Linked DNA regions of Xenopus tropicalis. The protein of the gene in region 2 interacts with the protein of the main gene of each other region in a pairwise test. Links are inferred from orthologs where the notes say so. Each region holds a gene or a part of one and is shown on either strand. Other genes may lie near its edges. The genes, in order: sirt6, chd3, yae1, serbp1 and immt.

Region 1 (5,571 bases), on a different chromosome or scaffold from region 2:
CACCACACCAACACCTACTAGCTCACTCACTGAGATGGAACCTTCTGTCCTTTTCCCTTTCAGCACACAGCATGTGTATTTTAGTCAGAGTTCTTGCAACACAAGTCCACTGCATGGATTTATTGACTAAATTATGTTTGCATTTGTCTTCTTAGTTCTTTCGCTACCCCATATGATGTATGCATCAGGACCAGCTCAAGGGCAAGGCAAGCAAGGCACCCCCCTTAGGCCCCAATTTTAGTTGACCCTGCTTGCCCAGACCCCCAACCACAATAATTTGCAGTTTCCAGTAAGCAGTGGGCGTGCCTCAGGAGCCCCAGACATTTACTGCCCCCAAATAATTTGTCACTTCCTGGCTTGTCTTTCTGTTGTGCCCAGGTCTCAAGTACTTTATTTTGTTCAAATGAGACAAAGAATGATTGTCTCATGATAAGTAACCCTATTTCAATATTTTATGCAACCTAAACCTCACACCAAGAAACACACAGCGAGTGGGTGAATTTTTCTGTGAAAAGATCAAATTTCACACTTAAATAAATAAGCCCACTATTGCTTTATCAACAATGCTTATCTGAGACAGCAAGTCTATAATCACTTTTATGGGGCTGATTCTTGAAGCTGGAAATCATATGAAGGAGTAAAATATTCACCAATGAGCATTGTGTCAGGAATCACAATAGGAATGACAATGCACTACAGTTAGGCTATATGACTGAGCAACGGCCAGGTAAAAGTACAGAACCATTAATGTCTCCTTGCCAATATGCTTTAGCAATACATTAATAAATACTTTATTTACATTAGCCCTATGGGATTGGTAATGCATTTTTCCACTTTCTGTAATTAATAAATGATTGCAAGGGCTCTTTCTGAACATGTGCACAAATATGGCTAATAAGAGGTAGCTGAAAAATAAGAACTCAGGCACAGTACTGACAAGCATAATTGTTAGCCTCAAATAAAATAAAAATAAAGAAAGGGAGAAAAAGAAGAATCGTGTGCTGTATGAAAGTCATAAGCTCACAAAAGTAGATGTGGGGTCCAGGGGCACATATCCAAGCTATGCAAAAAGAGGATTAAACCCTATAAATAAATATGGCTAGGTTTGCCATATTTTGTATACGGAACTTACTCCACCAGCCAAAAGGTTTAACAGCTCTATAATAGTAATGATCCATGCCTTGTCACAGGAGAGCTCCCCATAAGATTAGAAATCACCACTCTGCGCTTGTGAATAAGAAATCAATTCAAAAACACTTAGGGGCTGATTTACTAATCCCCAAATCCGAATGGGAAAAATTCGGATTGGAAAACGAACATTTTGCGACTTTTTCGTATTTTTTTTTCGTTACGACTTTTTCATTGCCAATACAAATTTCGTGAATTGTCGCGACTTTTTCATAGCCATTATGACTTTCATGAATTGTCGCGACTTTTTCATTGCCAATACAAATTTCGTGAATTGTCGCGACTTTTTCATAGCCATTATGACTTTTGTGAATTGTCGCGACTTTTTCACTGCCAATACAAATTTCGTGAATTGTCGCGACTTTCGTATTGAGCACTCGAAAAAGTCGCAAAACACCGATCGTTACGAAAAAACGCATTCTGACGCTTTTCGGACGTTCGTGGATTAGTAAATGTGCCCCTTAGTGAGCTGCCAGATACCAAAAGATATTGGGGAAAAATTAGTTATCTCAAAAGAAAGTTATTTAGTAACATCGCTCATATAAATAATCGTGATCACAATTAATTAAAAACAAAGGAGCTCCCCATCTTGGTTTCTGTTAGTGACACTCACATGCTCTGGGTAGCTGTTGAGAAGCTGAGCTTTGGGGTTGTCATAAATTATCAAGCAGAAAATAAGGTTGCCTGTCACAGTAGCTAATGCTATAGGGCTGACTAGAAATCGGGGGTTGTTTCCACTCACTATATATATATATATATATATATATATATATATATATATATATATATATATAATGATTCACGGTTTAAATGAGTCATAGACTGAAGAACACTGTATAATATATATAAATGTGCACACTTTAAAATACTCGTAACAACTTACACACTGTTGGTCTACCTGCAAAGTCTCCAACGCAAAGCTTTACATAACAACGAGGTAAATACCATTGCTTTTCTTCGTCACCCAGAATATAGTTTCTACCATAGAGGGCTGCTGGCTTGTTAGATATTATGTGCCTTGAACTGAATTATATACTCTCGAAATCAACGCACCAGGGACGGCGCCTAAACTCCCTTTCCAGTACTCTACAATAAGAATTCGACCGTCTGGCTGGTTTTATTGACGTCATTTGCCTGCGCCGGCCATTTAATGATCACAAAGGAGTCACTCCTGTTTCGGGCTCTGTTGGCGACATGTCGGTGAATTATGCGGCTGGCTTGTCTCCCTATTCCGATAAGGGACGATGTGGGCTCCCGGAGGCATTTGATCCACCGGACGAACTGTGTCGCAAGGTAGTGGAACTAGCTGATATGATTCGGAAATCCTCCTACGTAGTATTTCACACGGGAGCCGGGATCAGTACTTCCTGCGGAATCCCAGATTTCAGGGGGCCTAATGGAGTGTGGACTCTGGAGGAGAAAGGTGTGAACCCAAAGTTTGACATCACGTTTGAATCTGCATGTCCTTCCCCTACCCACATGGCGCTGCTTCAGCTGCAGAGGGTTGGCATCCTGAAATTTTTGGTTAGCCAAAACGTAGATGGCTTGCATGTAAGATCTGGCTTCCCCAGAGAGCAGCTGGCAGAACTACATGGAAACATGTTCGTGGAGGAATGCAGCAAATGTAGCAAACAGTACGTGCGAGATCAAGTTGTAGGAACCATGGGGCTCAAACCTACTGGGAGACTCTGTGATGTGCCCAAGGTGCGAGGCCTGAGAGCTTGCAGGGGGAAGCTCAAAGACACCATTTTGGATTGGGAAGACTCACTTCCTGACAGAGACCTAAACCTAGCCGATGAAGCCTGCAGGAAAGCAGACCTGTCCATTACATTGGGGACATCACTGCAGATTAGACCCAGTGGGAACCTACCACTCCTCACCAAGCGCAAGGGTGGGAAACTAGTTATTGTAAACCTTCAGCCGACCAAGCATGACAAGCACGCGGATTTGAGAATACACGGTTATGTGGATGAAGTGATGACACAGCTCATGGAGCTTTTGGGTCACAAGATACCAGTTTGGACTGGTATGCCTACTAAAACAGAGCCAACTAATGGAAACTATAAGGAGGAAAATCATTTCTACAATGATTCAGTGCTGGGTGCTAACCCAAACCAAAAAAGAGAAGGATGCAAGGAAGAACCTAATCTCGAGCCAAAAAAGGCAAAAGTTGAGCCAGCATGTGTATGATACTGGTCTTCTTAGTTCAAAAAAGGTGCTATATTCCTTAACTTGGCTCTAACTTTGTTTTGTGCTGGACATAAGAATACCCATATTTGGATATGTATGAGCCAAACTATTTTATATAATGTTACACACAGTGCTGTATTAGCTTGTACATGTCTTCTTGACTGAGACAGGCACACACATTAGAGAAAATGTATCCGTGAGAGATGTGCCACTCAGTTTCACTAAAGTTTTCTTTTTCAGGATGTATATCTAGCAATGCATATAAAAAGACTTGATATTGTACATTCCTCTATTTTTAAAAAAAGGGAAAAAAAAACAAAAAACAGTTTACAGAACTGCCAGCCATTTCTTTAAACAGAAATAAAATACAACTTTCTCAGATGCAGCAAGATATATTTAATTGATTTTTATACCACTGCTGGCTGGTTGCATTCATAAAACCGCAGTTTAAATAAATGAATTGCCTAGCTCACATGCATGCCAAGTGACATTGCTGACCTGAACCACCTTTTTGTCCTACCCTTCTATTTACAAGGAGCTTAGGCAGGCATAAGGTACACTGCTTCGGTTTCCCTGTGCACTTGTGCAAGTGACATAACTATGCTTTACTTGTGTAACCGTGGCAAAGCATAAACCAGAAGCTTGAAGCAATAATCATGGTGTAGAGAACCCCCACTATCCTAGTGATACTCCTCCAATAACCCCCACTATCATAGTCATACTCTTCCAATCAACACCGTACCTTCATGAGCTTCCTGACACCATGCCAGTTTTAATAGATTATGCTGATTGGAGCAACATTTCAAGGAATTTATTCCAGAAAGATCCTTGTACATGTAATTCTTATGACTAGCGAAACCTCTAGAAAAACACAGCAAGTCTAGTTGATTTGACTTACCGTATTACTACAGAGATACTCTTCCTACATTTCCACTTTCTGGTATGACTTGGGATGTAGCCAGTTTGTATTTTAGCTATTAGTTCCCCTTTCCCAACTGGCTACATTTTAAAATGACATGGATACCTGTGTTTTAATTGATTTTAAAAACCAAACCAATAGAGAAGGGAATTGAATATGCGTATTTAAGATGAGTTAAAGTTGGGTAGCCTTGCGACTGGTCTACGTGTATGAGGTGTGACAGATCAACCAATACTGGCCCAAGAAATGATCTATCAGCATCAATATTGTGTCTCCACCAATTTTAATGTGTTATTTTTAAGATTGCACCTGTTACATTAGCACTATTCTTTCCAATGCCCTGATCTGTTCTTTCTCTAGTCCTGGAGATAACACAAAACCAATTTCCTTATAATAGCACTGGTTTCTGTAATGTTTTCCACAATCTAGCATTGCTTTAATAATGGTTTCTGCATGTTGAATGTGACCTTCAGAAATGCCAGTAGTTGCACTTTTATACAATATTTTTGTTAATGGTCCGCACTGGGAGCTCCCTCCCAGTGTGGGTGGCCTAGCGTCAGCAGGGACTGTTTTTTTAAAAGGAAACTTGCTTTCCCCAACCGGACTGAGGGCTCTATAAGCCTGTACTTCCGGTGGGGGAACCATTTTTAGTTAGGTAGAAGAATGCAGTTACGCAGCAGCTTAAATAAATACATAACATTAAATAGTATTAAATGACTGATATAAATTGGCTTAATTGCTTATAAATGTTGAAATCCCAAGTTAAAACATGTTACACTATATTAGTGTACATGCATTTTTTGCTACATCGTGCACAACGCAGGACACTGCTTAGTGACATTTAGCATTTTCTGCTGTATTATTGCAGCACTCCTGTGTCTGTCTGGGATGACAAGGTTGGTGTTTAGCAGAACACCTCTACTAATTCTTTTCCTATATTGCAGAATGAACTGAGAAATTAAGCCTTTCAGTATCCTTGATGCATATTGGCATTTATGAAAAAGCAAGATTGAAGTCTGTGAAACAGGGACATCAGGGAATATGGCACTGTGTTTAATTATATGTGGTTTGTAGGAGCATTTTTATTCTGTTGTACATGATCAGGCTGCATGTATGGGAAATGTAATATTCATGCAATGTTTACATAATACTGGTCCGTGGCTAACATGCAAGTAAGCATAGCAAAACTATGGTAAACAGGAATGTAAAATTACACAAAATAACAGACAAGGTAAAACTACACTAGTGGTTAAAGCTACATGCTCAGATAGTCA
Region 2 (5,713 bases):
AGGTCTGTGCTGGGCCTTTATAGAGGAGAATGTACCCCCTATTGTAAAATATAAGGATATTATAAGTCACAGAGGAGTCCCATGACCATATAAAAGCTTCTATACAGGTCATGGAGCACTGAGGTGACTTCTAATACCTTCATATTTTACAATAGGGGGTACTTTATTATAGTATACAAGTTTTAGTGAGTCATGTGACAGAAACGACATCACTAAGCACCGTTTATAAGGGTATCTTTTACCGGATATTCATGGCTCTTTTGTATTATATACATTCACATGAACAGCAGAGCTAGAGGTCACCATTTCTCTTTTTCTCCCTCCCTTCTTAATTTTTTTTTTTTTTGTCCTTCTCGCCCCATGCTGTTTGTATCAATACTACTTTACCTAAACCTGCTGTATCCTCCTCCCACCCCACCTTTCTTCCCATATAACTTCCATGTATTTTTCCGTGTCACCCCCGTTCCTTTTTCTTCCCTTCTGTCTCCTCCCTCACAGTGATCTCTCCCCCCTCCTTTCAGCTGGAGATCTTTCATACAGTCATGTACCGCAACTTCCAACGGAAGAACGACATGGACGAACCCCCTCCCTTTGATTACGGCTCCGGGGAGGACGAGGGCAAGAGTGAGAAAAGCAAGGATGCCGAGTACTCCGACTTAGAGGAAAGATTCTACCGTTACGGCATAAAGCCTGAGTGGATGTCTATCCAGAGAATCATCAACCACAGGTCTGAAGGCTGGCCCAATGGTCTTATCCTTATACGTGTCATGTAGAGAAAGCAGCCATTTTATTTGTTAATACCTCTCTGGCCACCATCAAGGTACCTACCAAAAGGTGTTATTGGTAAGAAGCATGTAGTCCTGCCCAAAACGGAACACTCATGAAAACAGGCTAAACCTTAAACCAGGGGTCCTCAAACTTTTTAAACATGGGGCCAGTTTATGGTCCCTCAGATTGTTGGGGGGCTGGACTGTAGTCCTCCGAATATCCCCCCCCCCCCCGCGTCCGCAAACTATGCCTCAAAACCTCAAACTACGCCCCCCTCCCTGCTGCATACCCTCGCTCCCTGTTCCCCCGCTCCCAAATGTACCCTCCGGCTCTCTTCTCTCCGCTGTGCCCCCCGGCTCTCTTCTCTCCACTGTGCCCCCTGCTCCCCCGCTGCGCCCTCCGGCTCCCTGCTCCCCGCTGCGCCCCCCCGGCTCCATTTTTCCCCTGCTGTGCCCTTCAGCTCCCTGTTACCCCGCTGCGTTCTCCGGCTCCCTGCTCCCAGCTGCGTCTGCAGACAGGTAGTAGCCAGGAGTGGGGACACATCTGGCCCGGGTAAATTACCTTGGGGGGCTGGATCTGGCCCACGGGCCGTAGTTTGAGGATCCCTGCCTTAAACCATGGGTTTGATCTCCCCCCCCCCCCCCATATTTCATTAGACACTAACCCCCAAATGTAATAAAAAGGCACTAAGTTTGCCCAGGAGCAGTAACCCATATCAACCAATAAGATGATTGCTTTTAGACAGGTGACTTTTAAATTCTACCTGCTAATTGGATGCTATGGGTTACTGCACCTGGGCAAGCTTAGTGTCTTTTATTACATAACCCCGTAAGTTTGCCCAGGAGCAGTAACCCATAGCAATCAGTAAGATGTTTGCTTTTAAACAGATAACCAGAAAATTCTGCCTGCTGATTGGTTTGCCATAGGTTACTGCTCCTGGGCAAACGTAGTACATTTTATTACAAAACCCCAATTTACTGCGGCCAATCGATCACTGAATTTACGGCTACAAATTAGTTCATTCTTGGGTTGCCAGAATTCTGTTGATAGAAAATGGTACCAGAGACTCCATATGGTCATAGATGGGCACCTCCCTGCCTGTAGATGTGTAAAGGATTATTAAACAAGGCATTTTTATTAAAGGTGACTATACCCAGGCACTGCTGTATGGGGACAAGATAGTAGATAGATCAGTATCTGATAGGAACTTATTCAACTAATAGATGGAGGGAGGAGCATCACATCAACCAATCACTGTTTCAGGTTGTGGAGACCATATGCTGCGGATGGCTCCTAATTTGATTTAATCTGTATGTAATTGGTACTTGCCGAGTCTGTGCACCATTTATGCTTCCCAACATTCTCTCCTCAGTCTGGATAAGCGAGGGAACTATCACTACCTTGTGAAATGGCGAGACCTGTCCTATGATCAGTCCACGTGGGAGGAGGATGCCATGAAGCTGCCAGACTATGAATACCACAAGCCGTTGTACTGGAGGCACAGGTACCATTGAAAGCCACAGGTAGAAATGGCAGTGCCGGAATCTTCCGCTTGTATGTCTCCTAGAAGTAAAGGGGCAGCATTATATCATTTCTGGGAGGGCCCTAACTGTTGGTACAGCTTGATGGTTTAGGTAAAGTCTGTTTGCTGGGGGGCTCTCTTTCATCCTCACGGATTACCAGGCACCTTCCTCCTCTCGGCTATTACTGCGCTTGGGATCTAAACCCAAGAAATGAAATGATCGAAACAGTTTACAATAATTTGCAATTTACATTAATTTTTTCTTCATAGTGGTTTCTGAAATATTAGCAGTTTTAAACTATTAATATCAGCACTCGCACCATATTGTTGGGTCGTGGATGGGTCTGGGCTGTCCTCTTGCTTCTGCCCGCCCCATCTGTGACATTACACTGCCCATCTTCTGGACCTGGAAGCCTCTATTTATAGGTGTGCGCCTGCCCCGCCCAGTCCCTTTTGTGACATCAGAAATGGGCGTGTCTGGCGTGGGTCTATGAATAGAGGTACATTGCCAGGTCAGGTTGGAATCGGGTTGGGAGGCAGCAGGTCGGGTGTGGGTCCACAAAATGTTCACCCACACATCACTAGAAGGGTCGCTGAAACTTTAACCTTTAAAAAGAGTAAAAGCCTGGTGTTAGTGGTCTAAAACTGCAAATATATCAGAAAAAGAGAAAACTACTATAAATTGCCAAAGTGCTCAGGGGAACCATCTGATTAAGTCTGCATCAATTAATGTTTTAGGTTAGATCCCCTTTATAATGGCCGCTCATTGTACAACCAGCAATGGTAGTAAAGCTATACCTGTATATAGTCAAGTATACCTGTGAGCCACACATTACCTCCTTTTTTTGGTGGTGATAAACTGGCAATCATCCTTCCAATTCTTTCTTTCAGGCAACTGATGATGGGAGATAGTGCCTGCTGCCCTCAGAAATACAAGAGACAACATAAGGAATCCTATTTACACGGGGTCCCCAGCTCTCCTATAAATGACGTAAGTGTTGTCCACACGTATCATGGTATTGTAGTATATAGGTGGGTAAGCCTGCTCTGTGTCTATGGTCTTTGTATCTGTCATGTAGCGATGCGTGGGTAGAGTAAAACTGGACCGGCGCCAGCCCCACCCACTGATGATGTCACAAAAGGGGTGTGGCACGCTCACGCCGCTAGTGTAAAGTTTCGGGTGGGAAGATCAAGCAGAAAAGCTCGACTCGTACCCACCTGGATCTAGAAAATGTTGTGCAAAGGTTGGCCCGAACCCACCCAACCCTCGGGCATAATAGTAGTAGTGTGTAAGGGGGTAGACAGTAGTGATGTGCGGCCCGGCCAAATACCAATAGGTCAGGTCAGTTCGGGCCAACCTCAGCACATCACTTGCGGGTCGTGGGTAGGTTCAGGTTGAGCTCTTCCACTCACTCTCCCTGCCCACAACCTAAAATTGCTGGAGGGTTAGGATCGAGTGGGGGGGGGGTCAAGTTTTTCTCATCCTGCACATCACTAGTAGACAGGTAGTGCCACGTGTATTTGTCCTGCAGCAATGACCCAATGAAAACAGGTATCCTGCAGATTATGGGTAGGATTTCCGAATGGGACAGGTCACGGGTCTATCTATATTTCTTATGTTATCTTATTTTATCTCTATTTCTCTTATGTATATTTTACTCTTTCTAAACGTTTTTTTTTTTCACCCCCCCCCCCCCGTCCACTGATGAAGTGATGACATCACTTCCAGTTTGCAGCAACAGCACTTCCTGTTTTAATGGTGGTCAGGGGATCAGTTTGCTGATAAGGAAGTTGGGGGTCGGGTAGTGGGTCCAAGCGGGTAGAAATGCGAGTTGTGGGTTTGGGTTTCAAAATTGGTTCTACTCAGGACTCTAGTTCACACCATGGTTAATCTGTGGGATAAAGTATCCGCTTGTGTATGTTTCCCTTGCAGCCTACAGTGAAGTATGATACCCAACCCCAGTTTGTATCGAGCACGGGCGGCACACTGCATATGTATCAGCTGGAGGGACTCAACTGGCTGCGATTCTCTTGGGCCCAAGGAACCGACACCATCCTGGCGGATGAGATGGGACTTGGAAAGACGATACAAACCATTGTTTTTCTGTACTCCTTGTATAAAGAGGTTAGAGAAAAAAATGGAGAGAATGAAAGGAATTTGAGAATAAGATGGGAATTTCAGTCTTGTACGCCATTGTTCTAAGACTATATGGCTGAAACTTTCCCTATGCATTTTCACTACAGTCCTATAGTGTAAAGCAGGGCTGCGATCAGAAATCATGGGGCCCCCTCAACAAAATTTTCTGCCCCCCCTCCCCCAGGGCCCCTCCCATTAGTGCAAAGGACACAGACCTAAAATGTATTAGGGCCTCCCTACCACAGTGCCCCCTAATGCTAGGCTGGCCAGGGCCCCCCATACACAGTGCCCCCAATTGCCCCCCTTAGACAGTGCCACCAAGTGCCTCATACAGTGCCCCCATACACAGTGCCCCCCATAGACAGTGCCTCCCGAAGTCGTCATCGTCGACTTCTGCTGCTGCTGATTCTTCACATGTATGCACGGGGCGCGACCAATCGGATGACAGGGCCCGGCCGTAATCGATTAAAGGGGGCCCGAGCCAGTCAGAAAACTGTAGCATGGCCGGGCCCGAGTTGTCGGCCCTGGTATAAAGGTGGGCATGGGAAGAAATGCGGGTTTGGCGAGGTCGGATCAGAAACCGCATCAATGAGCCGATGCGGTCCAAAATCCGACAGAAAATTAAACCTACACGATCGAGATTTGCCAATTTTAAGCCAGATATCTGTCGGGTAGGCCCGTCAGTGGTGCCCCCAATAACGGACTGACCAATAACAGACACCCTTTTCATAGCATATTTGATTGGAGAAGCTCTGATAATTTGGTTCTTTCTCTTCTGTAGGGACACACGCAGGGCCCCTTCCTTGTCAGCGCCCCTCTTTCCACCATCATTAACTGGGAACGCGAGTTCCAGATGTGGGCCCCCGACTTCTACGTGGTGACGTACACCGGCGATAAAGACAGCAGATCCGTCATCCGAGAGAATGAGTTTTCCTATCAGGATAACGTCATGAAAGGGGGGAAGAAAGCCTTTAAGATGAAGGTGGGTGAACTGGATGGAAGGACAGTCAGAGCTATATATCGTTTTCATACTAAAATAGACAATCCTGATTATTTACTGATAATTGTCTCTGCGTGTGTTTAGCAGAGGCTATTCTCAGTAGTCTATGGCAGGGGATTTTCTGGTGTTTAGTAGCTGCTACTAAGTTGCTCCGTGTGTCTTTACCCTTATATTTTCACTTTTCTAGGCGCAGGCCCAGGTGAAGTTCCACGTTCTCCTCACCTCTTATGAACTGGTCACAATTGACCAGGCTGCTCTGGGATCCATTCGATGGGCCTGCCTGGTG
Region 3 (6,326 bases), on a different chromosome or scaffold from region 2:
ATATGCTTTTAAAAAGCCCGTTGAAATTTATATAAAGCAGTGGAATTTAACTCTGTTGAACTATGCATTGGTTTCACTATGTCCCGCTATCTCCAGGTCAAATCCATGCATGAATTCTTTTCCTCGAAAGGATACTTTTTTTATAGAGGAAAAGACAGACATATTCTGACCAACAACTACCAATTCCTACACTGGGAGCACACCCTACACTTCAATGTGGTGCTGGTAAAAAGGATAAGGGTATCGTTTATATAACACTTTTCTCCTGTTGGACTCAAAAAGCTTTGCAGCAAGCAAGCCATTATAGGGGCCTGGGACACCAGGAGATTAAGTCACAAAAAGGTTACAAAGAGTTGTCACAGGGAATCAAACCAGCGTGCCTAGCACAAGAGCCCACATCAAAGGCTGATCATGGTGCTGCCTCGAGATGCATGGGCATGTTACATACAATAAAGTGATTTACAGAAATTAAGCATAAGTATTCACCTTTTGTTATTAATAGTTATTTGATTTGCAGTTTCACTGTGGCAAAATTATCTTGTTAATTCACTATTGGCAAATCAGCAGTAGGAGAAGGGAAACTAGACCTGGTCTGCTGGGCAAAACAGTGGAAGTTCTGTCTTGAATGGAGCACATCCTAAAGAGGATATATTTGGGAATTCAGGCAACTTAGAAGCTAGGTCTACGAGTCGTGCAGACTTAAGATGGTATAATGGTCAAATATTTTTTCTTGAAATAGTTCTTAATATTGCAAGTTTGGAAGCTGAGTCCTCCTGCTCTGCTCTGACCATCTGACCAACATAAGTCTTTGTGGCCCAATAGCATCCACTATCCAATGATAAAGTGCAGTTAGTTTAAGATAAATCATTATATTAACTGCACAATGTGATTTATTTATTCACTTGCCATTGTGGTAAATAGTATGTTGGAAAAACTGTGACTCTTAAAAGGAGTAAGGAATATGACTTGTAATTGCAATTTAATGTCTAGTATAGCTAAACAGATATCATGCTGGTCACTATGTGGGCTCCGTCTTTCAGGGTATTGATCACCTTTGTGCTGATATAAGGGGAGATCATTTAGATTTAAAAAGTACTTCAATTAAAAACCTCATTGATTCTTAGGTAAACACGTGTAAGTTAGGGTTGACACCTGCCCGGTATTTTACCGGCCTGGCCAGTACAAATTATTCTTAAAGGAGAAGGAAAGGCTAATAAAGAGTTAATCTCAAGCTGCAGGCATACCTTCAGTTCTCTCAATAGTGCCCTTAAGTCTCCCCATATTTCACCTGTTCAGATGATCAGAAGCCTTATAGGGAAAAAAAACACTGAGCTTGGTGAAAGTTCCCATAATGCCTCACTCCTACACCAAGACCAAGAGTACATGCTCAGTTAGTAAGACTATGAGGAATCTTCCTGCTGATTGGCTAAGATCGCACATTCCTAAGGGGGGAAGGGAGTTCTTAGCATTCTTGAGGGAGGAGGGAGCAGGAGAGGGGAGAGAGGAGAGAGCTGCGTGTGTCTGGCACAGGAAAACAAAGAGACAACAAATCCTGTATCTTTTAACAGAGAACTCAGTGCAGCGTTTCTGTGAGTGCTTATGGCTGTATTTACATAGACCTTTCTGATAAAGCTTACTTAGTTTTTACCTTTCCTTCTCCTTTAATGCTAATGTTATTAATAGGGAAAATAGCTAAAAATATAGGAAGGCCAGCATCTTTTTCGAGAAAAGGTGGCAACCCTAGTGCATACCTCCCAACTGTCCCGATTTTCGCGGGACAGTCTCTCTTTTGGCAGCTCAGCCTGCAGTCCCAGATTCTTACTGAAAAGTCCCTCATTTCCCTTTGATCTTCTGCACTGAAGCTAATTTAATTAAAAGTAGCTTTTGGCAGAGACCCCACTTAGATACATTGCACTTAGATACATTGTTTCTCACATTTAATGAAATAAGTGGGCTTTTGGCAAAGAACCCAGAAAGGTAAAGAGCCCCCCCCTGCACTGAGATACAAGTGTAACTAATAAGCTAAACAGACCTCTTGGGGGAACTGAGACTTGCAACTTAAAGGACAATTTCATCTTTTCAGCAAAACTATAACACATAAAACAAAACCCCCAGAAATGTAAACAAACTATAACCTGCCAAATGGGAGTGGTATTTAGGGGGTGTGGTCGCAAAAAAACGGGCGTGGTCACAAAGTAGCTGTGCTCTGCATTTTTTTTTGTCCCGCTTTCCATTTTCAAAATGTTGGAAGGTATGCTAGTGTAAGTCTGAGCTGGGGCGGGGAGTTTTGCCATAATCTTGAGCTCATTATTGTGTTCAGCACGCAAAAGACTTTACATATAATCATAAAAGCACGAAACAACATGCTGTTAGTTATGTACATAACATTTGAACCATATAAAGTTCGCCACACATTATTTCACCCCATGTCAAGCACTAATATTACACAAGATGGCGCTGACGCACCATTAGGAAATAGAGAAATACGCTTTCCGTTGCTTTTTTTTTTTACTACACCCAAACAACCATCTTGGCTTATAAGCAATGGACATGCCTTCAGAAAATGGCGCATAAAATAGCGATCCCTATTGGTGAGGATGCGGCTGCAAATAATTTCCACTTCCGGGGTGAAGTTAGACTGATATTTTCGTCATGGGCGAGGGGCGTATTTAGCTTTTCTGCGTTAGAGCAGGGATTCTCCTCCAGTTTATGCCATGCTAGAGCTAGATACCGGCCCCTGATAGTGAAATGGCGTGGGTACGCACCGCTTTGGAAATCCAGCAGCTTGGAGGGGAGGCAGAGGTGTTTGATGAAGATGGAGACGAGATGCGCCTTTTGCAGCGAGATTGGCAGCTGTCCATGGAGAAGAGAATTAAGGTATTCGGGAGATAGTTAGACTAACATAGCGAGTTTGGGGGCCCCTTTCTAGGCATTGCCCTATTTTACTGGTAAGTGATTTCATGTGCTCCTGGTTACCTACCCCAAGGCATACATTGAGAAGCAGGTTTTCTGGGAATTACAAGGAGGTTGGTAAAAGCGGGGCTCTGTTTTACCTCAGGGCACTGCTGTGTTATGGAGCACTCGCATCGGGGTTTCAATGTTTGTCGCAGGAATTCGGCATTTCTTCTAAACACACACATGTTCTTTCTGTGTGGCCCAAATAGCTAGTCAGTAGTAGTTCAATATAGCACACTTTATTAATTATAATCAAGAGTAATGTGCTAATAAAGTTAGTCCGTTCATTGAAGGTCAGTGGAGTTTGCCCTAATTCAAGACTAACCTACCTCATTTCTCTGCCTTGTCATTGCTTTATACACAACTTTCTTACCTGCACCCAAGCTGTGATTCGGGGAAAGTAGAATAATCACTCCCATTTCAGAACTTTATCAGTCGTTACACAAGTAACTCATTATGAAGTTACTGGTTGACCAGGTTACACTAATTCGGGGATCTTTTTGTGAGCCACAGTCAAATGTAAAAAGACTTGGAGAGCAACACAAGCATCATAAAAGTTCATGAAGGTGCCAAATAAGGGCTGTAATTGGCTATTAGGCAGCCTCTATGCACACTATCAGCTTACAGGAGACTTTATTTGGTAGTAAATCTTGTTTTTACTCAACCAAAACTTGCCCCCAAGTCAGGAATTCAAAAATCACTACCTGGTTTGAGGCCTTGGGGAGCAACGTGTTGCTCACAAGGCACTTGTTGGGGATCACTGCACTAATTAGTCCCATGTCCTACCCACCTACACATTAACCCTTTCACTGCAAGCAGATTTGGTCACAACAGAACGTTTATTGCCAGACAGTTTTTGAACATTTTGCGCTCTTTCACTTTAGAGGCCTTTTCTCAGGGTGGACTTTTAGCTTACCCAGGAAAACAATATATTTTTTTCAGGGCAATCTAAGCTTTCACAATATGCTAGAATTTTTGTGTAATGCCACTTCTATAACAATATAGGCTTCTAAATATCTATATTTAAGTGTATGTGCTTGGCAGATAGAGCCTTTTACTGCCAGCACATACAGCCTACGTGCTTGGCAGTGAAAGGGTTAAAATGGCAGGGAAAAAAATGTACCGTATCCACCAGTATATTGTCTGTTGGATATGTAGGATGCAGTAGGCATGGAGTTTTAAGTTTAAATTAATTTTAGGTTACAGATGAAAACTATTTTAACTGCTTTAATTTTGTGGAATGCTTGTTTAGTTTGAATTTCTATTCTTGTATTCGTAGGAGGGCTACGTTGATGGAATAGAGGCTGGGAAAGAAAATTCTCTACAAACAGGGTTTAATTTTGGATATAAAGTTGGAGTGAACCTGCTAAAGCATTACGGAGAGCTTAAAGGGATCTTAAGGTAAGTTGTATTGTATTTTATCTTCACTTCTCCAGTTATTTCCGACAGCTTTTCAGTCACGGGAATTACAAATGTTTAATGTGTCAAAATGCTCAGGGTGCTTTTATAAGCAGTATTAATTTTTCAGTTTTAGAGCTATTTAAGTTTTTATTAACTGCCAAAATAATAAAGTTTGTAACATCACTGCCTTCTGGTTATTTCCTGCAGTTGTACAGTCAAAGAGAGCTACCTTTTTAATAAAAAAAAAAAACAAATATTGTGCTGTTGCTTTGCTTAGGAAGGAGATGGGAAAAGGCAATTGGGGCTTCTGATCGCTTTCCTGTTTCTGTTCTGAATGTAAGGTTTGTATGTCTTTGACTGTACAATTTCAAGAACTGAGGTAGCAATATTACAAAATTCATTATATTGGCAGTTAATAAAGACTTAAATAGCGCTGAAAGATTTAACATTACATATTTTTAAGAATTGTATATATTTTTGGCAGTTCAGAAGTTTCTACACTTTTGTTATATAAGCACAAAACTGAATTATCTCATGTGAAAAAAGGGGGGCTTTTTCCCCTTTAAAGGGTTTCTTGTCACGGCTACTAAACACCAGAAAATCCCCTGCCATAGAAAATAGAGAATTGCCTCTGCTAAAACACATGTAGAGACAGTTATCAGTAAATGATCAGCATTGTCTGTTTTAGTAGCTGCAACAAGTAGCCGCTACTAGTAGCTCCGTGTGTCTTCACCCTTACAGGAAGAGCAACATTTTTTTTTTTTCTCTAATTTTGATAATTGACAGCCATGTGACTTGTGCTTCGATAAACTTCAGTCACTCTTTTAATTAAGTATTTTGCAACCTACTGCTAGCTCTTCACAAATTTGTAAAATATTTTAAATCTTAAATTGTCAATGTTGATGTTTTACTTACTGCAAACGTGATAGAAGAATGAGTACAATAGGGACAATCAGCAGAAAATTGATGTCAAAAGTTTAACTAGGGTCAGCTGACAATAAAACTTGTTGTATCATCAGGAAATGCCAGTGCTTCTAGAAAATGTATCTATGTTATCATTGTCGTTTATATAATGTACTTTGTGTGCTTGTTGCAGTGCACTCCTGGCATGGTGCCAACTTCACAAGACAAAAGATGCAGCTTCTGGAAAACTACATGAGCTTCTGACTTCATTAGATCAGTGTGAGGAACAAATTGTAAAAGATCTATCTTCCTTTTATAAAGGTGCACAACCATCTGATTTGTTGCACTGTGTGGAGGACATGGCTCTAATCAGTCATGAGCATAGATGTGAACTGAATGAGCCAGGCTCCTGCGCAGGTTCCAGGAACTGTTGCACAAGTCAGGACTCTAATGGATCATCAACATTCCGTTGCATGAATACCAACTATATCAGCGATTCAACAAAAGAAGAACTTTGTAAGATTTTTAAGGAGACACTTTTGGTGGCTGAACAACTTGATATTTCAGCAGAACTTCTTTACTATATTCAAACACTCAATAACACAGAGTCACCTCTTATTCAATTAAAGTGCTAGCCACAGCCAGTGCACCATATTTTTTGTTTCTTTTTAAACATGTTACAATGTAACCAAAGTTACACAAATGACACATTTATACTTGTTAGGTTCAGAACTATCGGTCATAGAAATTATGTTTTTAGAGTCGGTTAGACTCTTTTAAATACAGTTTGATTTAGATAAAGGGACATTGATATTTAATGATTTTATATTGGTTAAAAATAACACAACTCGGTGTAAAATATACATCTCTACCATAATAGCAAGATAAAAGTAAATACATTGTTAAAAGCCCCTTTTTTTTTTTTTAGCTGCATTGTTTAGTTTTGGGTTAAACTTAACAAATAAGTGTACAAGATTAGGTCATTTTGTATTGGGGGGAAGGCAACTGACAAAGTTCAACCTCTCTAAATGATCCCCCGTGCATATTTTATTGTAGTATTTATGCAG
Region 4 (6,360 bases), on a different chromosome or scaffold from region 2:
TGAAGAGAATATGCAGCCAGTAATGACTGACAGCACACCTTGCCCTGAGAATAGAATCTGTGCTGCACTACTGCTACTGGAGAGAGCCCCCTACCACAACAGCTGCTGTAACCAGTTAAGGCCATACAAGGATTAACTATCTGACTCTTGCCAGTTATAACCCTTAAAACACAGTTTTTAGTGTTACCTCCCATAAAAGCTATTTAAAAGGATTGCTAAACCAGTTAATAGGCGTGGTTACAAAAGGCTGCTGACTGCACAAAGAACACATTACTTTGTACCTCCTCCACCCCAGTAAAAAACTGATAATATTTCTGTTTAACCCTATACCTGTTAATGATATAGTTAGTTAAAATTAGGAGTTCAAAACAAGGACCTTTTCAGGTTAAATGTCAGAATTGTGTGCTTATAGGCAATGCATGATCTTATCAGCTTACACACTGACAGGAAAAAAGTTAAAGTATAATTTGAGGCAAGCAATGAAGGCCCATGTGATTAAAATACTAGCATACTACAGAGTTTCCTTGTATATTAGTCCTATTTAATTTAGACCTCCACTCTCTGTACATAGCTCTGTGTTTACACTATTTGCTTAATTTAGCTGCAACTAAGAGCATACTGCAACAACTACTCAGATAATTGAATGCAAGATTTTTGAGCTTTTCTCATTTGCAGATCTGCCTTGACGGGACTGGTATAATTAAATACATTATAGCTACATAACAAAAGTGTCTTGTTATTACTCTAGTGCAAGCATTTATGCAGCAATGAAAATGTCTACGTATTATGAACTACTATTCTAACTTACATGCACATACCAATCACTGGTCACTGAAGATGGCTTGAGCACATGAACACCAGCATGAGAACATGTGATGCCATATGTATATGGGTGGGGGGAATTAAAATGAGTTTTCATACAACTAAGAAAAGGTAAGCTCATACAGAATTATAGTTGTCATGACCTTGAACTATTGGATTACCATTTAACTATACATATCTGCTACAAAGTGCCCAGACCTGGGAAGGGCCACACTGACACAATTAACATATCTACATAATTAGCACGATACCCTTTTAATAATTAGATTTTGGAAAAGACTTCACTTTATGAAAATGATTAATGTATACAAATCACATTTGTTGTCTGTTTGTGTAACTGCAAGTATTTATACTACGTTTCATACATAGCAAACAAAGTAGTTTACTATATTGTCCATTTAAAACTTTTTTTTTTAAAGGGGCAGTAAAACTCTAGTTCAGTACAAGCACTATTCATTAAATTCATATTGCACATATGTTGTACATGTTGCATTTATAATGAAAAATCTATGGTTTTTGTTCTTAAGCTAAACAGGGAAACCGAGGCTACTGTATGTTTGGACCTTGCGAGATAGATAATTAGATTAAAGTAAATAACCCTCTTCCCTTTATCCTCAGTTGAGATTTTCATTAACAATAACCCATTACACATGGAGCTTATAAGGGCACTGTTAATTAATATTCTACCTCACAAGGACCAAAGATGGAGTAACTTCAATTTCCCAGTTCAGCTCAAGAAATAAAAATAACAGATTTATGGCGATTAAAACAATAGGCAAAAAGTATGTTCACCACAAGCCCTTTAAACCTGGTGTCCCCAAATGTTAACTACAACTTCCAGCATGCTTATATCTGTGACTATTAGGTTAGTTTTAAATGCTGGAAGTTGTTGCCCAGCAACATAAAAGGTAGGAAGGCTTATATATTTAGTCATATATATTTAGTTCTCGTAAGATGCTAAAACATTTAAACGTTTTGGAATATTCCTAACAGCTCTCCTATATTAAGAAATATACTGTGAAACTTAGTGAGAAATAAGAAGGTAGATGTAACAAACAGAATACACTGCACAAACAGATGATCTAACTGTTACACCAGAACACTAAAAGACAGCAATGATGTGTGGTGAAATTGGCCACACATTAAGGGCTGATGGGGTGGTTTCTCCACAGCCTTATTTCAGCTAGCTAAAAAGTGCCCCAAACAACACCTGCTGCCCCCATTCCCTTATAGGAAAAACACCTGGTCAATGTAAAGAATCGGGGGCTGTTTCAGGCGCTACTCTACTACTGAAATACACCCAGTATAGAAAAGGGCTTTACACTTAATAAAACTTGGGTAAATTATGGAAATGTTTAGAAAAATGACATTGCCCTGAACATTGCAAGAGCAGAGCTTCACATTATTAGTTTTTAGGTCAAGTGCTTGAACATTTCCCATCAGTCTGTTGACATTAGTATTAAAATAAAAGCTAAGATGCCTTCCAAAACGCTTTAGGGTTAGGAGTCTGATACGGCGTGTTTTTTATGGCACAAAGTACTTTTATAACACGTCTTTAGCGGCTGTGATTGACACTAGTAATACCTGGACTAGTTGCTGTAGCTCTCATGAACCACATGGAAAACTGATATTTTATCTAGGGCCCCCCCATAGTAAAATCTGGCGTATGCACATTAAAGAGCACAAGCCAACCCAAACCAATGTTGCAAACTTTTATTCTTTGTAGTTGTACTGGGAAGAAAAAGGCAACAACCCTCCAGTAATAGTAGGGCTCAGAGTGGTGAGGCCTGCAGGAAGCGCCCAACCCATAGCAGTACACACACATTTCAGTGATAGGCCCACGTGTTTGGTAAGTATGGCTAGGGCCTAGTGTTGTGACAACCGCCCCCCTCCCCCCTCACACCACGTGCTCCCTAGCGCTCTCCCGCCACAAGCCTGGGCTAAGGGAAGCAGCTCCATGTGCGAGGCCCTAACGGTAACACTTCAGTGACAGCTCTGCTTGACCTTGGAGGGCAATTCGATTCTTAACGCTCCCCTCCCCCCCCTCCCGTCTAATGTGCCATGAGCCCGTCTGACAAAAAGAAGTTAACAATACGGCGATAACCGAGGTGCAAGCGCCTGGTTCAGCCAACTGCCGCTATAAACGCGTAATTTACAGTTCGACAGGAAAAGTATACACTGCGAATGTGTGCTATATGGCACCTTTCGAGTTCAACTCTTAACTCGTAGAACCTGGGGTAGTACTTTATAGGCTATAAGTGCATGCATGGAAATGAAATATAAAATAATTCGAAACTCAGTAGTGGAACGTCCCTGCGCTGAAGCTTACACAGCTCGCCACTTGTCGTTGGATTAAACTACCTAATCACCCCCGGGGCCTACTGTCACTCCCTCAGTGCTAGTCCTATGGCGCGTTACCTTCCTTCTTGATTGGTACAGGCGCCTGGCTCTTCTCCTCCTTTTCGGACAGAGGGTTCTTCCGGTCTTTCTGGGACTCCTTCTTGGGCTGTTTGGCGGCCTGAGCTGCCGTTTTGCCGGTCCCTTGACCCGGTCCCCCTGCGCCCTCCTTCTTCTTGTTCTCGGCCGCCTTCAACACCTCGAAGGGGTCAGATTCATCGTCAAATAGCTGGTCGAACCGATTGGTTACGACGCAGCCGAAGCCTTCCTGCAAGTGACCGGGCATGATGGCCCCTTAAGAGGTGGATGTTCCTCCGATTCTACGAGGCCTGGAGCCTAGAGCTCGCTTGCTAGTAAGCCAAAAGATGGCTGGGAAAGAGGCTGTCTTCTCTTCCGGCGCGATAGACATCCGGGACTTCTCCGGCTGCGGCATGATGGGACTTGTATGCCAACTGTCGTGCGTGTGCATGTTACATAGTGGCGCTAGGAACTACCATTCCCAGCATGCCATTCACCGGCATTGTGCGGGCCCCATCTATGTTTTCATGCGTGCTGCCTGTCAGTTGTAGATAGATAGAGACAAACAGACGAAGTGAGGGAGGTGCTTGGTTTGGGTAGCTGTAATTTACCGCCTCAGTATTCCGTATTAGAATAGTTTTTTTAAAAAAATAATTGCCCCCATAAGGAAACATGCTCCCTTAGTTGTATTGTTATGAAGCTGTAGCCAGGGGATTGTGGGAGTTGTAGTTCAATAATTTGGAAGCTAAATGCTGATGAAAATCTTCAGCATAGAGTTACAGAAATAGGCGTTTTCGCATATAGTAGCTAATGGGAATGAAAAATAAAGGTTTTAATTAAAAAAAAAAGGAGTCTCTGAATGAAACAATGTGTTGCCATATTTTTCTGTATGAATATTTTTTCCGTTAAAACAAAACCTCTACATTTTGTTTTGCAGACAATTAGTGCATCCCTATTATTAAGATGTATTTGTAAAGTGCTAACATTTTATGTAGTGCTGTACAACAGATGGGTGTATTTTACTGGTCTGGTCAGAAAAACTATGTTTACTGCCAACGTTATTATTAGGTTAAAGACAAAAATATAGGAAGGCCAGTTTTTTTTCCAGAAAAGTGGAAACCCTAGTATATATTTGTGTTGTTGCCTTCCTGGTATTTTACTGGCCTAGTTGGCAAAAAAAAGAACATTTCCTATAACGTCAACCCAAATCGCAGGACACTGGGGAAATATTGGGGGCATGGCTTGCTGGGGGACTGTGATAATGCCACTGTGCATACACAGAGGGTAGGTCTGCTCACATGAAAATTGGGCAGGAAAAGACAGCAGTGAGGCTGTGGAATGCTCTTCTGAGTGATATTGTAATGGCAGATTGGTTTGGATGATTTCTTGAACAAGCGTAATATCCAAGGCTATTGTGATACTAAAATCTACAATTAGTATTGATGTTGGTATATATGGTTTATGTATGTGAGTGTATAGATAGGTCAGTATAGGTTGTGTGTGCTGGGTTTACTTCGAAGGGTTGAACTTCATGGACTTTGGTCTTTTTTCAACCCTGTGCAACTATGTAACTATATAGTGCGCTTGTTGTTTGAGTACGCCCAGAATGTGAACTACAGTTACTTACTCCAGATTCTGCTATTCCTGAATAAAAACTAGGGACATCATTTTCTTAAGAAGGTGATTCCTGGTCCTCCCTTACTTCTTAATTTAGCATGTTGCTAAAATAGATGAATTGTCTATTTTTGGTGTCACCGCTGTTTCTTTTATCTTGGGCCCAAAGGCTTTCAGAGCTTGAAACACTGCCCTGACTTCCAACACATTTGACTGTGTGTTCTCTCAAGGACTCTGCCAGGAGCCACACTGTCTCCCAGGAAAACTCCCCACCCCAAGGAAGAAATATACGCTGCTAGAACTTTAAATTTGATTGAAAAGAGGGGAAACCCTTAGATATGTTTGAAGTGGCTAGCCACCACTGAAGACTGACTTCGAGGAAAGATTGGCTTTGGGAGGAAGTTGAATGTCAGGAGGACTCCATTGAAGTCAGGCATTGCTTAGTTTTACTTCCCCTGAGGACCGAGAACTGACTGATGCCCCAAAGGGAATTGTTTGGAGGTATTGCTAAATAAATATCTCAAGCTGTTTGAGGATCTTTTGTCCAACCTAAGCCTTAAAAAAAGAAAACATTTAAAGGGTTGATCCCAGGAGAACTCACCACTCCAGGGAAGAAGTATTGATTAATATACCTTTCCAATCGGTTGGAGCAAGGGGAAGTGTCAAGCCACCACACAGATTCAATTTGAGCTGGGAGGAAAGTCAAAGGACTGACCACTGCTCCAAAAGAATTGTCTAGAGGTATCTCTAAAAATGTTGGCGGGATCTATTACCTGACCTAAGCTTTGAAGAAAAAAACCTTTAAAAAGTTGATTCCTCACCATTTTATTCTCTGAAGGAAGGTAACAACTCATTCCTACCATTGCGTTAAAAATGATTTGCATAGACTTAGTTTAGTGGTAGTATCCATGCCCCAAGCTCTAAGCCAAAGTGCTCTTTTGGAAGAGACAAACAGAGCAATAAAGCTTTAAGCTTAACCTTTAAGTCAGTTAAGTCAACTGCTGCTTTGGACCAGGCCTGAACTGTGTAGATTATGGCAAATGCCAGAGGGCGTGCTAAATGATGCCATAGACAGTAACTATTGTGGGGAGCTGTTTTGGTATCTGTGAAATGCCAGGACTTATTTTTAATCTGTGCTAAGACCTGCTTCAGATTCGCCATAAAGAACAGGTCAAGCTGAAAAACAAAAACCCCATTAACACACTAAAAGAAAAGAATATAGATACATTAAGACCTTTATAGTAGTAGACCTTTATAGCCTGTCTGTTGAAGCTCTACTTGATTAGGCTTTAGACATTAGACATGATTAACCCTCAGCCATGGCAACATTTTTCAAGTGTTGGATTAATAGGTAAAAGTTGCCCTCCAATGGTAACTGGAGAGAGGACATCAAGCAAACTAGACAATATGGTAAGAGTGAGGACCTTCTTGTTGCTTTTGGTTTGAGGAGGTACTTGTCCACCAGGCTATTGGAGGTGGGCAAATACCCATAGTATTGATGATATGAAG
Region 5 (6,287 bases), on a different chromosome or scaffold from region 2:
AAAACATGGTTGACAGGTAAAACAAATAAAACTAGTCATTTATTATTATTATTAATAGCATTTATTTATAAAGCGCCAACATATCCCGCAGCGCTGTATAATAAGTGGGTTCCATACATTGGCATACCTCCCAACTGTCCCGCTTTTCGCGGGACAGTCCCGACTTTCATTACTCAGCCCGCTGTCCCGGATTTTTGTTTAAATGTCCCGCTTTTCAATTGCCCGCTTGTGACTGTGACGTCATGATTAGACTGCTCCGGGAAGCACAGAAAGATTGTGATGTGAACGCTGCAACGGAGATTCCAAGCCGACAGGATGGATTTATTGCTGTTGCCCTCTGCTCTTTTATGGCTCCTTCTCCCCTGCTGCCAGTATGTATGTTAGTAGCAGCTCACTACAGAAGCCTCCCTGTCTCCCACTCCTACCAATTCCTCCCCCCTTCCCGGTACCAGGCCCGGATTTGTGGAGAGGCCACAAAGGCCCGGGCCTAGGGCGGCAGAAGTTTAGGGGCGGCATGCCGCCCCGCCGCAAAAAAAAAATTAAATTTGGCTCCCATACGGAGCAGTCGGGACCTCTCCCCACTGCTCCGTATGGCATTTTTAAAGAGCGCATGCGCACTGGTGGGGCCGCTTTCGCGCATGCGCACAGGAGGGCGCGCTTTCGCGCATGCGCACTGGGGGCGCTTTCGCGCATGCGCACGGGTGGGGAGGGGACGACCGACAGGGGTGGCCTCGGGGCGCCCAAAACAGAAATCCGGCCCTGCCCGGTACAAGTTTCACTAAGCTGTTTACCTGCTACCCCCTACACCTCTTTCACTGCTGAGCTCTCTTTAGCTGTCTCCTTCTGATAACCTCCCTACCCAGAGTTATCCTGAACCTTTAGGCCAACATTTCCTTAACCCCAGTCTTCCTTACTGGTACAGGACAAAACCCTGATGGTGGTCAGTGTATCATCTATAATACTACCTGCAGGGTAATTAGCTTAACCATGTTAGTTTGCTACAACTCCCTGCATTCATTAATATCTAAAATACATTTTGCTTTCTATTAAAAGTATTGCTGAAAGGATATTGCCTTATACTTCTCACTGTAATGTATGCCTTATACATACACTGTAATGCTTGTGCAACAATGAGTGTCATGACATGCTGTGCTACTGTGTATGGGGGCACTGTGTATGGGGGGCACCTGTGTATGGGGGGGCAAAACTGGTACATAGTTATAACTCACATATAACTCACTGCCTTCTCTCTATATTTGTATTTATATGTAGGAGTTGCTATAATGTTTCCCTTAGGCAGTACAGTATGAGAGTATAGCACATTTGCGTCTGATCCCGCCATTTTAACTATATAAAAGGAGTATTTTTTTAATGGGGTGTGGTAATTGGGGCGTGGTCACAAAAGAGGGTGTGGTCAAAAAAATTGCCGCGCTGCGCGCACCAAATCTTTTTGTCCCTCTTTTCATTTTTCAAATGTTGGGAGGTATGCATGGGACATACAGAGTAACATATAAAGCAATCAATAACCGATACAAGAGGTGAAGAGGGCCCTGCCCAAAAGAGCTTACACTCTACAAGGAGACATACAGAGTAACATATAAAGCAATCAATAACCGGTACAAGAGGTGAAGAGAGCCCTGCCCAAAAGAGCTTACACTCTACACAAAGTTATTACAGAAACAGCTGTGACTTGTGAAACTATGCAAAGGATAGTTCTCTAGGTGTATCAGCTGCTTCTGCTACATTGCTGTGAGTCAGAACCCGCGGTGCACAGACTGTAACCAGGCAGGCACTGCTTTCAGCCATCACAGAGCTGCACAGAGAGTGTAAAGTTTATTTTAACCACATTTTATTGCGCAAAAGCCAGTTTCATGGTGAAAGTCCCCTTTATTAATACGTAGTGCGAAAAGTCATGTGGTACAAACTCTATAACACTGCGATAAACCACAACACACGATATCCCTGTTAGGAACTACAAGTACCAGCATGCCCCAGCCATGAGACCCGTATTGGATACGCAAATCCCTATCTTGTTCTCAGAAGTGTTATTAATAAAGCTGTTGAATTAAAAAAAAAATCAAGCTGTCATGCCATAGTGGGCGTACCCCGGCGAATGACGTAGGCGGAGCTAGAGGTGCTACACGGACCGCGCCTCCATTCATGCCGTACTGAGAGCGCTCCCGGAGCTTGCCCTCCCCATCACACCGGAGAACATGCTGCGGGTGTGCAGGAAGGCCCAGGCGGCGGTGCTCGCCAAGGTGAGTGGATAGCGCGAAAGAGTACACAGTGTTGCAGTGAGGGAGCTTCTAGTTGGGAGAATGGGCGGGGATGGATTCTGACAGGATATCGCCTAAAGGCCGGGAAACAGCAGTACTGAGCCTTACGAAGTAAGGGACCCCGGCTTCCAAGGCTGGGAGCCGTCAGCGGCGCCTAGGACTTCCTTTCACTCCAGCCAATTACAGGCAACCGCTTTAACAAGCTGCAGGCTGACCGGCCAATCAGATTCCAATGTCCTTGGCACTTTAGCCAATTACCCCTTGGTTAAATATATGACGCTGCTCGGGCGGGGCTAGCGTTAGATTGACGTCTGTTAGACCTATAACGTGGTTAGTTGTTTTGACGGACGTTCTGTGAAGCCAATGAGCGATGTATATTTTGGCAGGTAGAATGGAAAGCTATAGTGGCGAGGGACTGTGAGGCGGCATGGGGCTAGGTCACCGGGGCACACGGCCTGTATACGGCCTAAAGTTTATTTTAGCCTCAGTGGCTAATTGTACCCTCCTGCGAGAGCGCCCCTGTCTGCATAAACCCCACTTGTCTTTTGCCTGTAGGTGTGACCTTGCTTGGTGTCCCATCCCCAGGGCCTAGCTCCTATCTGGTGCCAGGGACAGTACAGAGAGTGGCAAAGAGCTTAGTTAAAGTTATTGGACCACAACTCCCAGCATCCCTTGACAGCCTTTTGCGACAGTTAAGGTTTGCTTTTTGATTGGGAGAAAATATCATCTTTTCATTCTTCCATATAAATTGTATAAAAGCGCTGCTTCACCTTCACCATTGTGTCTTTTTATTACTTATCTTTCTATGTAGGCCCTCTTCTATTCATATTCCCATCTACCTTTTAAACCACTGGCTGGTTGCTAGGTTAAATCGGACCCTAGCAACCATACAGCTGCTAAAATGTAAAATTGGGGAGCTGTTGAACACAAAGAAAAATATATCAAAACCTGCAAGTAATTAAAAATGAAGACCAATTGCAAACTGTTGCAGAATAGCACTCTCTGCATCATACTAAAAGTTCATTTCAATGTAAACTGCCCCTTTATATGTACATTGTGTTGTATGAAGCAGATCTAATGATGTATAGAGCGTTGGCACTCTGCCTTCTACTTTCTAATCTGTATCTGACCCCAGCCCAGGGTAGGAATCCTTATACAGGTGTACTAGGGACCTGGGGAAGGTATATTTCCATTATTTGGATCTCCATACTTAATAATTAAAAGCTGAAATAAACCCAGTAGGATTGTTTTGCCACTCACATGGATCTGTGCTGCTTAGTTACCATCTCATACAAGGTACTGTTCTAATATTTCAGAGAAATAGGAAATCGGAATTATTTGCTTATAATAAAGTCTGCAGAATATTAAAGATGAACTCTGGCTTCTGCGCCAAAATGTGTTACAGAGCCCCACACAGCACAGAAACCCCCCAAATCCCTATCACTGTAATCTGTTCCTTCAAAAAGTAGGAATAAATACCATTTTATATGCTGAAATCCAGCTGCAAAACAGTTCTTCTCTTTCTGCATCATTTGAAATCCTGGCAGGGGAGAAGGGACTAAAACATTGATGTTACAAATTGTAACAACTTCTCCACAGCTTACTGACAGCATGCAGGAACCCACAAATTCTCCGACATGGGGGCAATATCAACAGGAGCCAGTTAACTTTCCCCTATATTGCTGGAGGATGCACAGCAATGGCACAGAGGAACGTTACTCAGATGCCAAGCACACAGTGCCCAATCTGCACGTAATGCTCAGCAATGTGGGGCAGGAATGCTACTTAACGTGCCACCCTGCTCCCATTGATAGCCGTGCCCTTGGATGTTGATATGAATAGGTCACTATGCTATCTTTTTTTACCCACAATGCAGTTTTTATCCCCCCCCCCCAGCAAAATGGCAGGTACCCTCTAAGGCTTATGGCACAAGGGGAGATTTTCTGCCCATGGCTAAATCTGGGCTGCCGCGGGCAAGGAAATAAGCACTGTATATGCTTTCCCACTGTCAACTTACTTTACTGCTGGTTGCAAAGCATTTTGGGGAGATTTGTCACCCACAGTAACCCAGATTTAACCAAGGGTGACAAATCTCCCCTCAGGCCCAAAATGGCAGTCTATGGATTGCTGTAAGGTGCCACAGACAGTCACTATTTATTGGGCTGCTGGGGGGCTGTTTGTGCCTCTGGGTACTGGGAATGCCAGGGGGGCTGTAAGGTGCCACAGACAGTCACTATTTATTGGGCTGGGGGGGCTGTTTGTGCCTCTGGGTACTGGGAATGCCAGGGGGGCTGTAAGGTGCCACAGACAGTCACTATTTATTGGGCTGGGGGGGCTGTTTGTGCCTCTGGGTACTGGGAATGCCAGGGGGGCTGTAAGGTGCCACAGACAGTCACTATTTATTGGGCTGCTGGGGGGCTGTTTGTGCCTCTGGGTACTGGGAATGCCAGGGGGGCTGTAAGGTGCCACAGACAGTCACTATTTATTGGGCTGGGGGGCTGTTTGTGCCTCTGGGTACTGGGAATGCCAGAGGGGCTGCTGTAAGATGCCACAGACAGTCACTATTTATTGGGCTGGGGGGGCTGTTTGGGCCTCTGTGTACTGGGAATGCCAGAGGGGCTGCTGTAAGATGCCACAGACAGTCACTATTTATTGGGCTGCCGGGGGGCTGTTTGGGCCTCTGGGTACTTGTAATGCCAGGGACTATTTTGTATCCTAGTCCGGGCCTGTATCCCTGTGTGTCCTGTGAGCTGCAGCCTGTGTGAGGGGACAGATTATCATCCACTTTGGGAAATTGTGGTGCCGTGTGTGTTGCCAGTTTTTCCTAATTGCTGTGTGTGTGCCTTTATTTGTGCCAGTAATGCAGGGGGGCATCAGCTAGTTTGCAAATGGGTTGCATGTGTGGTTGCGTCAGTACAGCCGGCATGAAGGCTTCTCACTTACCCATGGGCCCTGTACCCTGGGCGCTGTTCCTCAGAGCAGGCTGAACTGCTGCAAAGTACAAGGTGTCGGTGTAAATAAGATTTAAGCACACAGAATTGCATGTGTATATGAGCCTTAATATGTACTATACATTTGTTTCACTAGTTGTACAGGTGCAACGTGGAGCTGTTTGGGTGAGGGGGCTGTTTGCTTTCTGCCCTGATCTGGTGGCTGCACACTTCCTTGTGCTGTATATATGGGGTACCCTTCACAGGGGTTTGTCCGGTTGCCATTGATCATTGGTTGTGTATAAAGGAAATATTTCCATTCATGTTCTACTTATCTTATGTGCAGTGTAACATTCTGCAGTATACTAATAGTATCTAATGATAATGATTTACAGACCGCAAACACACACTCTAAAGGTCCCCATACACGGGCCGATAGTAGCTGCCGATATGGGTCCCTTAGACCGATTCGGTAGCTAATCAGCCCATGTATGGGCGCTACCGACGGGCCTGCCCGACCGATATCTGGCCCGAAATCGGCCGGATCTCGATTGGGCGGGTTAGAAAATCTAGTCAGATCGGGGACTGCATCGGCTCGTTGATGTGGTCCCCAGACCGACTTTGCCTATACCTGTCATTATAATTCGATCATTTGGTCCCAGGGCCAAACAATCGAATTACCCTGGATTCTCCCAATATCACCCACCCGTAGGTGGGGATATCGGGAGAAGATATGTTGCCAAGCGAGCGGATCTTATGGTGTATGGGGACCTTTACTTGCAAATAAAAACTCTTGTGAGTTTATTTATTTACTAACTTTTGCTCCGGGTCTAGTAACTCATGGCAACCAATGATATGATTGCTTTCATGATTCTGACTGCTCTAGACCAGTACAAACTGCTACCCAATGCCCTGTGGGGAAATGCCTAATATGCAGTTGGTTACAAGGACATTCTAAGCACAATATTCCCTAAATTGGGGTTCAGGTAATAACCTTAGGGAAAGAATGGGGTAAAGCAAGAACATGTTATGTAGCTATTTTAAAGACTTTACTGAACTGTAGAGCTGTTCTGTTGTTGGA

Evidence for each region.
Region 1: the proteins of chd3 (region 2) and sirt6 interact in a two-hybrid assay, tested with the Homo sapiens proteins (2 studies listed by BioGRID and IntAct). The link is inferred for Xenopus tropicalis from reciprocal best matches to the Homo sapiens genes CHD3 and SIRT6.
Region 3: the proteins of chd3 (region 2) and yae1 interact in a two-hybrid assay, tested with the Homo sapiens proteins (2 studies listed by BioGRID and IntAct). The link is inferred for Xenopus tropicalis from reciprocal best matches to the Homo sapiens genes CHD3 and YAE1.
Region 4: the proteins of chd3 (region 2) and serbp1 interact in binary tests that used the Homo sapiens proteins (3 or more experiments, as listed by UniProt). The link is inferred for Xenopus tropicalis from reciprocal best matches to the Homo sapiens genes CHD3 and SERBP1.
Region 5: the proteins of chd3 (region 2) and immt interact in a two-hybrid assay, tested with the Homo sapiens proteins (2 studies listed by BioGRID and IntAct). The link is inferred for Xenopus tropicalis from reciprocal best matches to the Homo sapiens genes CHD3 and IMMT.

What each region holds. Positions count from the first base shown.
Region 1 is NC_030682.2:40,097,940-40,103,510, reverse strand, and holds sirt6 (NAD-dependent protein deacetylase sirtuin-6), read left to right. Parts: upstream 1-2,376; 5' UTR 2,377-2,382; coding exon 2,383-3,378; 3' UTR 3,379-3,761; downstream 3,762-5,571. UniProt on the Homo sapiens protein: NAD-dependent protein deacetylase, deacylase and mono-ADP-ribosyltransferase that plays an essential role in DNA damage repair, telomere maintenance, metabolic homeostasis, inflammation, tumorigenesis and aging.
Region 2 is NC_030679.2:146,917,811-146,923,523, reverse strand, and holds part of chd3 (chromodomain-helicase-DNA-binding protein 3), read left to right. Parts: coding exon 1-2; intron 3-521; coding exon 522-727; intron 728-2,140; coding exon 2,141-2,272; intron 2,273-3,181; coding exon 3,182-3,281; intron 3,282-4,223; coding exon 4,224-4,415; intron 4,416-5,208; coding exon 5,209-5,409; intron 5,410-5,614; coding exon 5,615-5,713.
Region 3 is NC_030682.2:64,475,496-64,481,821, forward strand, and holds the start of yae1 (protein YAE1 homolog), read left to right. Parts: upstream 1-2,611; 5' UTR 2,612-2,748; coding exon 2,749-2,877; intron 2,878-4,234; coding exon 4,235-4,356; intron 4,357-5,452; coding exon 5,453-5,894; 3' UTR 5,895-6,326. UniProt on the Homo sapiens protein: The complex LTO1:YAE1 functions as a target specific adapter that probably recruits apo-ABCE1 to the cytosolic iron-sulfur protein assembly (CIA) complex machinery. May be required for biogenesis of the large ribosomal subunit and initiation of translation.
Region 4 is NC_030680.2:83,565,475-83,571,834, reverse strand, and holds the start of serbp1 (plasminogen activator inhibitor 1 RNA-binding protein), read right to left. Parts: upstream 3,634-6,360; 5' UTR 3,506-3,633; coding exon 3,241-3,505; intron 1-3,240. UniProt on the Homo sapiens protein: Ribosome-binding protein that promotes ribosome hibernation, a process during which ribosomes are stabilized in an inactive state and preserved from proteasomal degradation.
Region 5 is NC_030677.2:17,821,357-17,827,643, reverse strand, and holds the start of immt (MICOS complex subunit MIC60), read left to right. Parts: upstream 1-2,085; 5' UTR 2,086-2,213; coding exon 2,214-2,258; intron 2,259-6,287. UniProt on the Homo sapiens protein: Component of the MICOS complex, a large protein complex of the mitochondrial inner membrane that plays crucial roles in the maintenance of crista junctions, inner membrane architecture, and formation of contact sites to the outer membrane.